Linked DNA regions of Arabidopsis thaliana. The protein of the gene in region 1 interacts with the protein of each later gene in a pairwise test. Each region holds a gene or a part of one and is shown in the gene's direction. Other genes may lie near its edges.

What was found.
Region 2: the proteins of SGS3 (region 1) and RDR6 interact in a protein complementation assay, tested with the Arabidopsis thaliana proteins (one study listed by BioGRID).

What each region holds. Positions count from the first base shown.
Region 1 is NC_003076.8:7,940,965-7,946,703, forward strand, and holds SGS3 (XS domain-containing protein / XS zinc finger domain-containing protein-like protein), read left to right. Parts: upstream 1-1,943; 5' UTR 1,944-2,241; exon of another isoform or gene 2,242-2,647; 5' UTR 2,648-2,656; coding exon 2,657-3,619; intron 3,620-3,692; coding exon 3,693-3,984; intron 3,985-4,095; coding exon 4,096-4,340; coding exon of another isoform or gene 4,341-4,346; exon of another isoform or gene 4,347-4,442; coding exon 4,443-4,609; intron 4,610-4,699; coding exon 4,700-4,910; 3' UTR 4,911-5,181; downstream 5,182-5,739. Other genes in the region: AT5G23550 (Got1/Sft2-like vescicle transport protein family), read right to left, coding at 372-515; AT5G23575 (Transmembrane CLPTM1 family protein), read left to right, coding at 5,599-5,739.
Region 2 is NC_003074.8:18,348,381-18,355,499, reverse strand, and holds RDR6 (RNA-dependent RNA polymerase 6), read left to right. Parts: upstream 1-1,826; 5' UTR 1,827-2,033; exon of another isoform or gene 2,034-2,289; 5' UTR 2,290-2,294; coding exon 2,295-5,009; intron 5,010-5,431; coding exon 5,432-6,307; 3' UTR 6,308-6,519; downstream 6,520-7,119. Other genes in the region: AT3G49510 (F-box family protein), read right to left, coding at 443-1,609; AT3G49490 (uncharacterized protein), read left to right, coding at 6,852-7,119. UniProt on the Arabidopsis thaliana protein: RNA-dependent RNA polymerase involved in post-transcriptional gene silencing (PTGS). Possesses ssRNA and ssDNA-dependent polymerase activity, but does not have priming activity.

The sequences.
Region 1 (5,739 bases):
GATAATTTAACAGATTCTTGTAAACGAGACAACACTACAGGTTCATAGAGGAGCTAAATCCAAGTAGCGTCCTAATTTTTTGTAGTAGCAAGCCAAAACTTAGTCCTATTAATCAAACTGTTATCATACCACATGGAATTTTATAATCCTTCTCCTCCAAAAAATCATAGAACTGCTAAACACTTATCTCAAAATCTCTTGTATGTTATTGATCACATCATATGCATTCAATAGGAACTCATTTACATTTCTACCTCAGTGAGCTTACGAGCCTAACTTCTCTAATTGGACGAATACCTAGTCCGCATGTGAAATTACAAAAATTACCAAATTCAGAGGACTTGATCGAAGAATCTGGGGAAGTTAAGAACCTGTTTGGTAGTTAAAGCGCAATTGCGATTAAGATCTTCCATGAATGAGAGCGAGCTTTCTTCATCAGCAGCTTGTTGCTCGTCTTCAACCTCCATACCAACCAACATCTTCATCTTCTCAATAGCCTGATTCATTTTATCCATCTCTGTAAGTCCTCTTTCTGTAGTCTAAGCTCTTTCTTCCTAGTTCTAGTGATCAGATCTCACGCTTCTTCTTCTCAAATTGTGACAGTAGAACTGAAGTATGGTTGGATCTTCTCTGCAAAATTACGCAATGTGTGAGACTGAAAAATGAAAGAGACACTTTTCTTCGTAGGAGGAGAAAAGAAGAAAAGGCTTTAGTTGTTGGGCTTATTTTAAATTAAAATAAACTTAGCCCAATTGTTGGATCCATTAAGGTTTTATTTTCTTATTTTAAAAATTTACACATCCATTAAGGTTTTAATTAAGGCCCTTTAATTAATGAGTGGTTGACAAAAATAATATGTCAAAAATATCTTGAACTTTCAAAAAATGCCAACAATCCTCAACTTTGCTTCTAATTCGCTATTTTTGTTGATTTTTTTATTTTATTTTACTCACTTAATTTTTGTTGACTTCCCATTTTAATAGCTATTTTTTTTGTTGATTTTATCAGATATAACATATTATTTTGTTTCTTTTCTTTATATCATACAACTATATGCAATTGATATATGTAAAAAAATAACTAGATTTTTTTCTATAAATATAAGATTAACTAAAACTGAAAGAAAATATATATTATGTTTAAACTAGGTATAGATATTTTAGGAAATTAACAATTAATCGAAAAATATAAGAGAGAATTAATGATATAAATCGTTTTGTTAATTTCTTCTAATAATTTTTTGAAATCTTAAGAATTTAAGACAATAACATTCTATTGTAAATAAGTGTCAAATCCATGATTTATTTCAAAAATATCTACTAAAATGTGTATATAGATAACAACTCCTCACACAAATAATTTGTAACATAGTATTTTTTTTTCTTGTTTCCTATATTTAAGTTGGTCAATTACTTGTGATTTATTTTTTTAGTAAATAATCTCGTGGTTTGTTTTCTAAAAATGTTTTAATCAAAAATATAAAACGTAACTGCCAATCACACAAATGATACGTAACACATTTTGTTTCGTTTATTCTATATAGGTTGGTCAATTATTTTGTGATTTGCTTTTAGTAAATAATCTTGTGATTGTTTTCTATATAAACATTTCAATCATATCTTTAAAACAATAATTTTTTTCGCTTAAATGATATATAACATATTATTTTTTCTATATACATATATAATACAAGAAAAGAATTTAATTATATTTCTCTATTATATAAAATTTTGTCAATTACATAGTATGTAACTTTTATAGTACATAATATTATGATTATTTTGAGTTTTATAAGTTATATATAACCTTAATACAATAATTTCAGTATGGTTCCATTGTAAACATTTTCAAAAAATGTAAACCTAACAAAATATAAGTAAAAATTATATATCTACTTTTTGTGCATTTTTAATAAGGTGAAAGTTATATTAAATACAAAAATAGCAAGACATGTTTACGTTGACAAACAAACAAAAATTAAGCAAGTCATGTTCGTAGCAATAAATTAATAGTGGGAACAATTAAGTTAAGCGAAAAAGGAAAAAAAAAGGTACAAAAATGAAAACAAAATCAAACTGAATGAAAATTTGGAGTCCAGAATCGGAAAAACGAGGCCGTTTTAGAGCTTAATAAGCTTCCTCATTTGTCTCTTCTTCGTCAGTTTATTTTCTTCCTCCGGAGTCCTGACTCACTACTCTCACTCTCCGGCGCTTTAAACTTACGTTCTCCGTCGTTTACTCTGTAAGTTTTCTGCCTTAGAGCCTCCGATCGCCTCACCGCATGCATTCTGTGCTCGATTTCTCTTTTTCTTCGCTGGAAAAATTGCCCTAATGTTCTCGATTTCGAAGGTTTTTGTGCTATGGGTTACTTTTTTCCCTATATTTTATAGTTCTTAGGTAACGATACCTGCGTCTTACTGTTTTTGTTCATTTTGTTGTGCTTTCACCGTTTAGTCGCTGATCGGAGTATTTGACTGTGAAAAATCCTTCGTTTTTTGGTTTTTGTTTCATATAAATCGGATTGATCTACCTTTTGTGCTTTGATGTTTGTTTTTTGAGCCTATGCGTTGTTGGCTTGTTATAACTTCACGTTCATGTGTGGATTTTGAGATTTTGGTAGTGACTGTGGGTTTCTTTGGTGGCTATAGGTTGTAAAAATGAGTTCTAGGGCTGGTCCAATGTCTAAGGAAAAGAACGTTCAGGGTGGTTATAGGCCTGAGGTTGAACAGTTGGTTCAAGGTTTGGCAGGGACGAGACTGGCTTCTTCACAAGATGATGGAGGAGAGTGGGAGGTCATTTCCAAGAAGAACAAGAACAAACCAGGAAACACTTCTGGAAAAACTTGGGTTTCTCAGAATTCGAATCCTCCTAGAGCTTGGGGTGGTCAGCAGCAAGGGAGAGGTAGCAACGTATCTGGGAGAGGAAACAATGTATCCGGGAGAGGTAACGGCAATGGTCGGGGCATTCAAGCTAACATATCTGGTCGGGGACGAGCGTTGAGCAGAAAGTATGATAACAACTTTGTGGCACCCCCACCTGTATCTCGCCCTCCTTTGGAAGGAGGATGGAATTGGCAGGCAAGAGGAGGTTCTGCTCAGCACACAGCTGTGCAGGAGTTTCCTGACGTGGAGGATGATGTGGATAATGCTTCTGAGGAAGAGAATGATTCCGATGCTTTGGATGATTCTGATGACGACCTTGCAAGTGATGATTATGACTCGGATGTGAGTCAAAAGAGCCATGGATCACGAAAGCAGAATAAGTGGTTCAAAAAGTTCTTTGGCAGCTTGGATAGCTTGTCGATCGAGCAGATAAATGAACCACAGAGGCAGTGGCATTGTCCAGCTTGTCAGAACGGACCTGGTGCCATCGATTGGTATAACCTGCACCCTCTACTAGCTCATGCGAGGACAAAAGGAGCTAGGCGAGTTAAGCTCCATAGAGAATTGGCTGAAGTTTTAGAAAAGGATCTACAGATGAGAGGCGCATCTGTCATTCCTTGTGGTGAGATTTATGGGCAGTGGAAGGGTTTGGGTGAGGATGAAAAGGATTATGAAATTGTCTGGCCTCCAATGGTCATCATCATGAATACTAGACTGGATAAGGACGATAACGATAAGGTGGAATTCTTCTGTCTTTTACTTCTTTAATTTTTCTCTTGCATTCTACTGATCTTAGAATGTTACATTGTAGTGGCTCGGCATGGGCAACCAAGAGCTGCTGGAATACTTCGACAAGTATGAGGCTCTTAGAGCACGCCATTCCTATGGTCCACAGGGCCATCGTGGGATGAGTGTTCTGATGTTTGAGAGCAGTGCCACTGGCTATTTGGAGGCCGAACGCCTCCACCGGGAGTTAGCTGAGATGGGGTTAGATAGAATTGCCTGGGGTCAGAAGCGCAGTATGTTTTCTGGAGGTGTTCGCCAACTGTATGGCTTCCTTGCAACGAAGCAAGATCTGGACATATTCAATCAACACTCTCAAGGTTCTCTCCCCCAAAGAAATTTGATATATGCTTTTAGTTTTGTCATTGGAATTTAAAGTTTTGTTGGTCCGTGTTAATGCATCTGTTATGTATATATCTATGATTCATTAGGCAAAACAAGGCTGAAATTCGAGTTGAAATCATACCAAGAGATGGTTGTAAAGGAGCTGAGGCAGATCTCTGAGGACAATCAGCAGCTGAACTACTTTAAGAACAAGCTCTCAAAACAGAACAAGCACGCCAAGGTGCTTGAGGAATCTCTGGAAATTATGAGCGAGAAGCTGCGTAGAACTGCAGAGGATAATCGGATCGTGAGACAGAGAACTAAGATGCAGCATGAACAGAACAGGGAAGAGGTATGATTTTTCCTAGAAAATCACAAACTTGACATTTTGTATTACCTACTGATTCACATTTTTGATTATATTGTCCAACAAAAAACCTGTGGTGGTTTGAAGATGGATGCACACGACAGGTTTTTCATGGATTCAATCAAACAGATCCATGAAAGAAGAGACGCAAAGGAGGAGAATTTCGAGATGTTGCAGCAGCAGGAACGTGCCAAGGTTGTTGGCCAGCAGCAGCAGAACATTAATCCCTCTAGCAATGACGATTGCCGAAAGAGGTATATGTACTAACTAACATAATCCCTCTGGCGTTTTTGTTTTTCAAACCTAAGAGTAACTGAATTATTCCGGTTTTGATTCTTTCGCAGAGCTGAGGAAGTGTCAAGCTTCATCGAGTTTCAAGAGAAAGAGATGGAGGAGTTTGTGGAAGAGAGGGAGATGCTGATAAAAGATCAAGAGAAGAAGATGGAAGACATGAAGAAGAGGCATCACGAGGAGATATTTGATCTGGAGAAAGAATTTGATGAGGCTTTGGAACAGCTCATGTACAAGCATGGCCTTCACAATGAAGATGATTGAGACAAAAGTCTGGTACACAAGACAAGACTAAGTTTCTTTGTTTTGCTTTTGGTATGTCGGAAAGTAGGAGATCTGAGAGACTCCATTTAAATACTAGGACAAATCTAAGGAGATTATAGATTATTATCCTCCAATTTTTAGTAGACGGATCTAAGGAAGCATTAAGTTCTTGTGACTAAAACCAAGTTTCCTTAGTATTTTGTTTTTTTTTGGTAAAATTTCATATGAAAGTTAGACATATTACCAAACGTCAGAGTGAATCACAGAATGGCAAATCAAAATCATGTTTTTAGAATTTTATATCTACAAAATATATGGGTACAAATATTATTTTCTAAAGGTTCGGGAAATAATAGTAAATATCTAAAATACAGAGTTCTTTAGATGCAAATGTTACTTTGTTCTAAAGTCTAAAGCGACGTGTTGGTGTCATAAAACACTTCTACTTGAATCGCATTGGAAGAGCATCGTCACGACTCCATCACACTTATATATTTTGTTTATTCAAATCTTCTTTCAGATTTTTATACAAAAAATATAAATTAAATAAAGAATCCCATAAATATCTCTCTATCGAACTCTCTCTGCTTTTACAAATCTCAGAATCTCCTTCAGCGAATTCACATCTCAGCTGCTTTTGAATCCGCCGTAACTAAAAACAATCCTCCTTTTCTCGATTCGTTAAACTATGGCCCCGCCGGCAGGACAAACGGCGGCGGTGGCTGAAGCGGCTGGCGCCGATGGTGCTCCACCGCAGCAGCAGCGTGGATTTGGTTCCACGATTTCCGGCATCGTTAGAATCGCCGTCTTTTGGTATTTTGCTTCTAAG
Region 2 (7,119 bases), on another chromosome or scaffold:
TTTATATTCTCTCCGGCCTCTGCATTGCTTCTATGACTGAGAGTATATTGAGATAAAGAACATAATAGAGGTAGATGAGAGAGTACATATTCATCAGATGACTAGCATTTTCTACGAAATGGTGTTTTGACAATTCAAAATCTAAAAGAAATCAAGAGAGATCAAATCCCAAGTTTAAGCTCATGTGTAAACTATGGACCTTAAGTACTCTATTGCATAGAACGGCAGGCCAATGAAGTCTTCCTCTATAAGACAAATCGATGATATTTTCATCTTCAGTCTGAAACCAAGATTTCAAAATGAACTTCAAACACTATACTTGAAAAAGTGAGATTTTGTCATATATACACTCATACTTGTATCAACTATTTCTTCAAACTAAAATCAGTTTTGTTCAAAAGAAAACCTGATGCAAGAAACAAACAAAAGTATTGAAAAGTGACTAATCTTGCAGTTGAACTAAACTTGGAACATAAGAAGAGCACACAAGTCTGCCTGGTTTCCGCTGGGAATTCGGACTTACTCCAATGTTGACAGATTTGAAGTATCCATCATCTCCAACGATGTAAGCCATTTGGTAGCGACAGGTCTTGATCTCTTTACTATCAAAAAGCACAACAACTTTCTTCTCCTCGTCAATGAAGAAGCTCTTAGCTTCAAAGTACATCGAAAAATGATCCGGTAAACCATTGACTAGTGACATATCCACAGTCAAAAAAGAGCTCCAGGATACCGCATTGGGTTCAATCTTAGTCGAAATCCTAATCTCTATAATCTCAGCTGTGACGTAGTGGTTGTATAACACAGCGAGCTTCTCATCTCTAACCCAAGATAGAGTCACAGTTTCAAAACTAGGACAGGGAGGGTAAAACAGCAGAGGCAAACACGGTCCAAATCTCTCTGTTGTAAAATCAAAACAGAGTAAACAAGTTTCAATCTCTGTTACTTTCGTCGCTTGTGTCACTTCTTGACCGAAGAAGTAAGTATTTCCCTTCAAAGACACTCCGGTCTGATAAAACGGTATATCACAGTCAGGATTGACATCAAGAACCCTCCATGAATCAGAGCTAAAATCGTATACATCAATGTGAGTTCTTCGACTGCTTTCGTTGCTCTCTTCATCATAGAGAAACCTCAAGATTTTGTGGTTACGGTTGTTGTCGTATCCAAGAGCAAACCTGTCATATCTGTGGAATGTGTTTCTTGGTCGAATCCATTTCGTTTGCCCCAAATACGGATTCCACACAAAGACATTCGAGTTCTCTTTGGCGATGCATAACAATAAGCCATCGCAATGATAGACTTGAGATATCTCGACTTGATCATCATTACTAGGTATACTTATTAGCTTCATAGATGGATCAACGAAGTCTTCTTTGTCTTCGTTACGGATTCCTTGAAGATCTAATCTCAAAGAACAAACTCTAGAATCTAGAATCATGAACTCTAGAAATTGATTCCTTGCTGCTGTTTTTCTACCAAAGATCTGATTTTTCGATAAAGCATTCCACTTTTTACAAGTAGATCGCACTGAGATTAGAGATGTAAATGGAACCCTAGAAAGAATATCACCTACCAAATCATCTGATAGATCGGAAATTGTCGTCATTCTTCAAAACTTTCTCCAGAAATTTGTGTATTGTTCTTCTCCTTCAGTCTGTTCTCTGTTGCTACCTTTACTGTGTCAATGTCGGATCTCTCGATTGTATTTTCTTGATAACGGTTTGGTTTGGCCCAGGTTGTTTAAATGGGCCTATGTACAATAATGGAAACAAATAGGAATATATTTTAAAAGCCCATTAATTAGACAAATAGCACGTGAGCAGCACAAGCACTTCTTCTCCAGTCTATTTTCCCCCTCATCAGTCTCAGACTCTCTTTCGTTTACTCGCCGAAGTCAAATAAAAACGAGAGATGGTTTCAGCTATGGCGGGTTCTCCCTTTTTCGCATACTCACTAATCCTCTCTCCAGTCTCCGCATTGCTTCTATTTCTACCTCGTATCCAGTATTAGATTGAAAAAGATCTCACTGTGTAAGTCTCCAGAACCTCACTGTGTAAGTGCTTTTGTATTTATTCCCGCTTGATTCCAAAATTATTCAATCAACAATGTATTAGGTGATCGATTTCAATAGTATTTGTAGTTGGAATCATCGATATTGTCTCTTAATTTGATATTTATGGTCTTAGATCTTCCAACGGAGTAGCGAATTAGGGCTTTTCTTCAATATTTTCTCTTATCAGCCTTATCATGTGGGGGTTATTTCTGTTTAGTATGTTTCTTTTTCAGGAGAAATGGGGTCAGAGGGAAATATGAAGAAGTCGGTTGTGACACAAGTAAGCATTGGTGGATTTGGGGAATCCACTACTGCAAAACAACTCACAGATTACCTTGAAGATGAAGTAGGAATTGTTTGGCGTTGCAGATTAAAAACTTCGTGGACTCCTCCTGGGTCTTATCCTAATTTTGAAATCGCAGACACTTCAAATATCCCCAGTATTGATGAATATAAGAAAGTGGAGCCTCATGCCTTTGTCCATTTCGCAGTTTTTGAATCAGCTGGTCGTGCCATGGATGCTGCAGGGCAATGCAACCTCATCTTGGATGGCCAGCCGTTAAAAGTCAGTTTGGGTCCTAAGAATCCATATTCCCTTAATCAAAGAAGAAGAACGACTGTACCTTATAAGTTGGCTGGTATTACACTTGAGATTGGGACATTGGTTTCTCGGGATGATTTTTTTGTTTCTTGGAGAGCTGAAGGGGTTGATTTCCTGGTGGATCCTTTTGACAACACGTGCAAGTTTTGTTTCAGAAAGAGCACTGCCTTCTCTTTCAAGGATGCAGTGATGCATGCTGTGATCAATTGTGATTATAAGTTGGAGTTATTGGTGAGAGATATACAAACAGTCAGGCAGTATAAAACCTTGCATGGCTTTGTGCTTATTTTGCAGCTGGCTTCTTCACCCCGTGTCTGGTACAGAACTGCTGATGATGATATTTACGATACTGTCCCTGGCGATCTCTTGGATGATGATGATCCTTGGATCCGTACCACTGATTTTACTCAAGTTGGGGCAATTGGTCGATGTCATTCATATCGAGTGCTCATATCTCCGCGGTATGAAAATAAACTGAGAACAGCCTTAGATTATTTTAGGATGCGGAGGGTGCAAGAGGAACGTGTGAGGTGGCCTCCCCGTATCCGTAATGAGCCTTGTTTTGGGGAGCCTGTGTCAGATCATTTCTTCTGCATTCATCACAAGGAAGGAATCTCTTTTGAGATCATGTTTCTAGTAAATTCGGTATTGCACAGGGGTGTCTTTAACCAGTTTCAGTTGACTGAGCGATTCTTTGATCTTCTAAGAAACCAACCCAAGGACGTCAATATAGCTTCTCTCAAGCATCTCTGTACCTATAAACGACCAGTTTTTGATGCGTACAAGAGGTTGAAGCTTGTTCAGGAATGGATTCAGAAAAATCCAAAGCTTTTAGGGAGTCATGAACAATCTGAGGATATCTCTGAGATCAGAAGACTAGTAATTACCCCAACCAGAGCCTATTGCCTACCCCCAGAAGTTGAGCTCTCCAACAGGGTACTCAGGAGATACAAAGCTGTTGCTGAAAGATTTTTGCGGGTAACTTTCATGGATGAAAGTATGCAGACCATAAATTCGAATGTTCTCTCTTACTTTGTTGCTCCTATTGTGAAGGATTTGACATCAAGTTCTTTCTCCCAGAAGACCTACGTTTTTAAAAGAGTGAAGAGCATATTAACCGATGGGTTTAAACTATGTGGTAGAAAATACAGTTTTCTAGCATTCTCAGCCAATCAACTGAGAGACCGCTCTGCATGGTTCTTTGCTGAAGACGGGAAAACACGTGTGTCAGATATAAAAACATGGATGGGGAAGTTCAAAGACAAGAATGTGGCAAAATGTGCTGCTAGGATGGGCCTGTGCTTCTCCTCCACATATGCCACTGTAGATGTCATGCCTCACGAGGTTGACACTGAGGTTCCAGATATTGAGAGAAATGGGTATGTTTTCTCTGACGGAATTGGTACAATCACACCTGACCTCGCTGACGAAGTAATGGAGAAACTTAAGTTGGATGTGCACTACAGCCCTTGTGCTTATCAGATACGTTACGCAGGTTTCAAAGGGGTTGTTGCTCGTTGGCCATCAAAAAGTGATGGAATCAGGCTAGCCCTTCGAGACAGTATGAAGAAGTTCTTTTCCAAACATACGATCTTGGAGATCTGTTCCTGGACGAGGTTTCAACCTGGGTTCTTAAATCGGCAGATAATTACCCTTCTATCCGTACTAGGTGTTCCGGATGAAATATTCTGGGATATGCAGGAATCCATGCTCTATAAACTGAACCGCATCCTTGATGATACAGATGTGGCATTTGAAGTTCTCACGGCATCATGTGCTGAACAGGGAAACACTGCAGCTATCATGCTTAGTGCAGGTTTCAAACCAAAAACCGAGCCGCATCTACGCGGGATGTTGTCTTCAGTCAGAATTGCACAACTCTGGGGTCTCAGAGAAAAATCTCGTATTTTTGTTACTTCAGGAAGGTGGCTAATGGGTTGCCTAGACGAAGCAGGGATACTTGAACATGGCCAATGCTTTATTCAAGTCTCTAAACCGTCTATAGAAAATTGTTTCTCCAAACATGGGTCTCGTTTTAAGGAGACAAAGACAGATCTGGAAGTAGTTAAAGGCTATGTAGCCATTGCTAAGAATCCTTGTCTTCACCCAGGGGATGTAAGGATTTTAGAAGCTGTTGATGTACCCCAGCTGCATCACATGTATGACTGCCTTATTTTCCCTCAGAAAGGTGATAGGCCGCATACAAACGAAGCTTCTGGCAGTGACCTTGACGGGGACCTGTACTTTGTGGCTTGGGATCAGAAACTCATCCCTCCCAACAGGAAAAGCTATCCGGCCATGCATTATGATGCAGCTGAAGAGAAGAGTTTAGGCCGTGCTGTCAACCACCAGGTCAATATCTACTTCCCCACTTTTTTTCTGTTAGCTGAGATGATGACGCTTAAGATAAAATGGACAAGTGATTCCAGTATAACTCTCTGATATTTCTGGAAGTGGTGGAAACTTTGTTTTTGGATGCTTGTAGTGATTACTTTTGCTTGCTTCTGAGTTCATAGATTGCGTGGCATAGGTTGTTAACAGCATACTGTGTTCATCCTGTAGGAGCTAAGATGATGACATTTAAGAAAACTTTGTCATATATTGTTGATTCTGATTTGTATTTTTCGCATGCCTTACTGTGACTGTGACTGTTTAGTTACTATCAAGGGCAGTATCATGATGCTAGTAGCTTCTGCCAATGTAGTTATGAATTCTTTGTTATTTTTTCTTGCTGTGCTTGCCAAGTCTTGGGTAATTGATTGCTTTTGTTACAGGACATAATCGATTTCTTTGCAAGAAACTTGGCGAATGAGCAGTTGGGCACAATTTGCAATGCACACGTCGTTCATGCTGATAGAAGTGAGTATGGAGCCATGGACGAAGAATGTTTGCTACTGGCAGAACTAGCTGCCACTGCAGTTGATTTCCCAAAGACAGGGAAAATTGTGTCAATGCCCTTCCACCTAAAACCAAAACTCTACCCAGATTTCATGGGAAAAGAAGACTACCAAACTTACAAGTCGAACAAAATCTTGGGTCGGCTTTACAGACGGGTAAAAGAGGTTTATGATGAAGATGCAGAAGCTTCCTCAGAAGAAAGCACAGACCCAAGTGCCATCCCTTATGACGCTGTTCTTGAAATACCGGGATTTGAAGATTTGATCCCTGAGGCATGGGGTCACAAATGTTTGTACGACGGGCAACTCATTGGTCTTCTTGGGCAATACAAGGTGCAGAAAGAGGAAGAGATTGTGACGGGTCACATCTGGTCCATGCCCAAATACACAAGCAAGAAACAAGGCGAACTGAAAGAAAGACTGAAGCATTCTTATAATTCCCTTAAAAAGGAGTTCAGGAAAGTATTTGAGGAAACAATCCCTGACCATGAAAATCTCAGCGAGGAGGAAAAAAACATCTTGTATGAGAAGAAGGCTTCAGCTTGGTATCATGTAACTTACCATCCCGAGTGGGTGAAGAAGTCTTTAGAGCTGCAAGATCCAGATGAGTCCAGTCATGCGGCGATGCTGAGTTTTGCTTGGATTGCAGCTGATTATCTTGCAAGAATCAAAATCCGGTCACGGGAAATGGGAAGTATCGACTCAGCCAAGCCTGTTGATTCTTTGGCTAAGTTTCTTGCTCAGCGTCTCTAAAAGGTTATGTTTAATGCCGTAAGGCCACTCTGCCATGTATCTGTGGATTTTTTTGTGTGACGAAACATCTTGTCTTTGCAAAAACTGCTTGCTGTTCAGGATTTGTATAGCTCAACTGCTTGCCATTGTTTGTGTAATGTATTCTACTATATTATCGTCAAATATGCTCTTATTATTTTCAAAACAAATTTGATTTGCTCTTATTATACTTGATGTTGGTTAACTGGTTTGATTAAGATGAATCAAATGAGAGTCTTGAGACTTTTATAATCAAAATGTGAAATACATAAAATGTACTTATTATATGATTAGGAAAATATCTGAATTGGTAAATTTTTATTGACTCCTGTATTTATCTGTGATTATAATTAAACAGTTAAATGACTTATAAATTCATTTTTTAGTGACATTATAGGGCTTTCCTTATAAGGCCTTAAAGGCCCATTGAGAAGCTAATTCCGATAAACATTGACATTCTGAAACACTTGAGCTGCAACAACACTTTTTCCTTCACCAGTCTCTTCCTCGTTTTGGTGAGAAAACGATGACCGATGGATTTCGCTATAATGGTTTCTCTGGAATAGCGTACCCGTTTTGGCTCTCATCTCCACCACCGCCTACACCTCCACATCATCCAGCTTCTGCGCCGCCGTTTCAACAAAGCAATCCGGTTGAATCCTATGATCCAGCCAAAGAAGTGTTTGATCCGATGATGTTGTATCATGACTCTTATCAACGATCGCCGGCTAATTGGTCAAATAACCCATCGTATCGTGAAAATTCTCGCTCTCAGACTCCTTCTTCATCGTTTT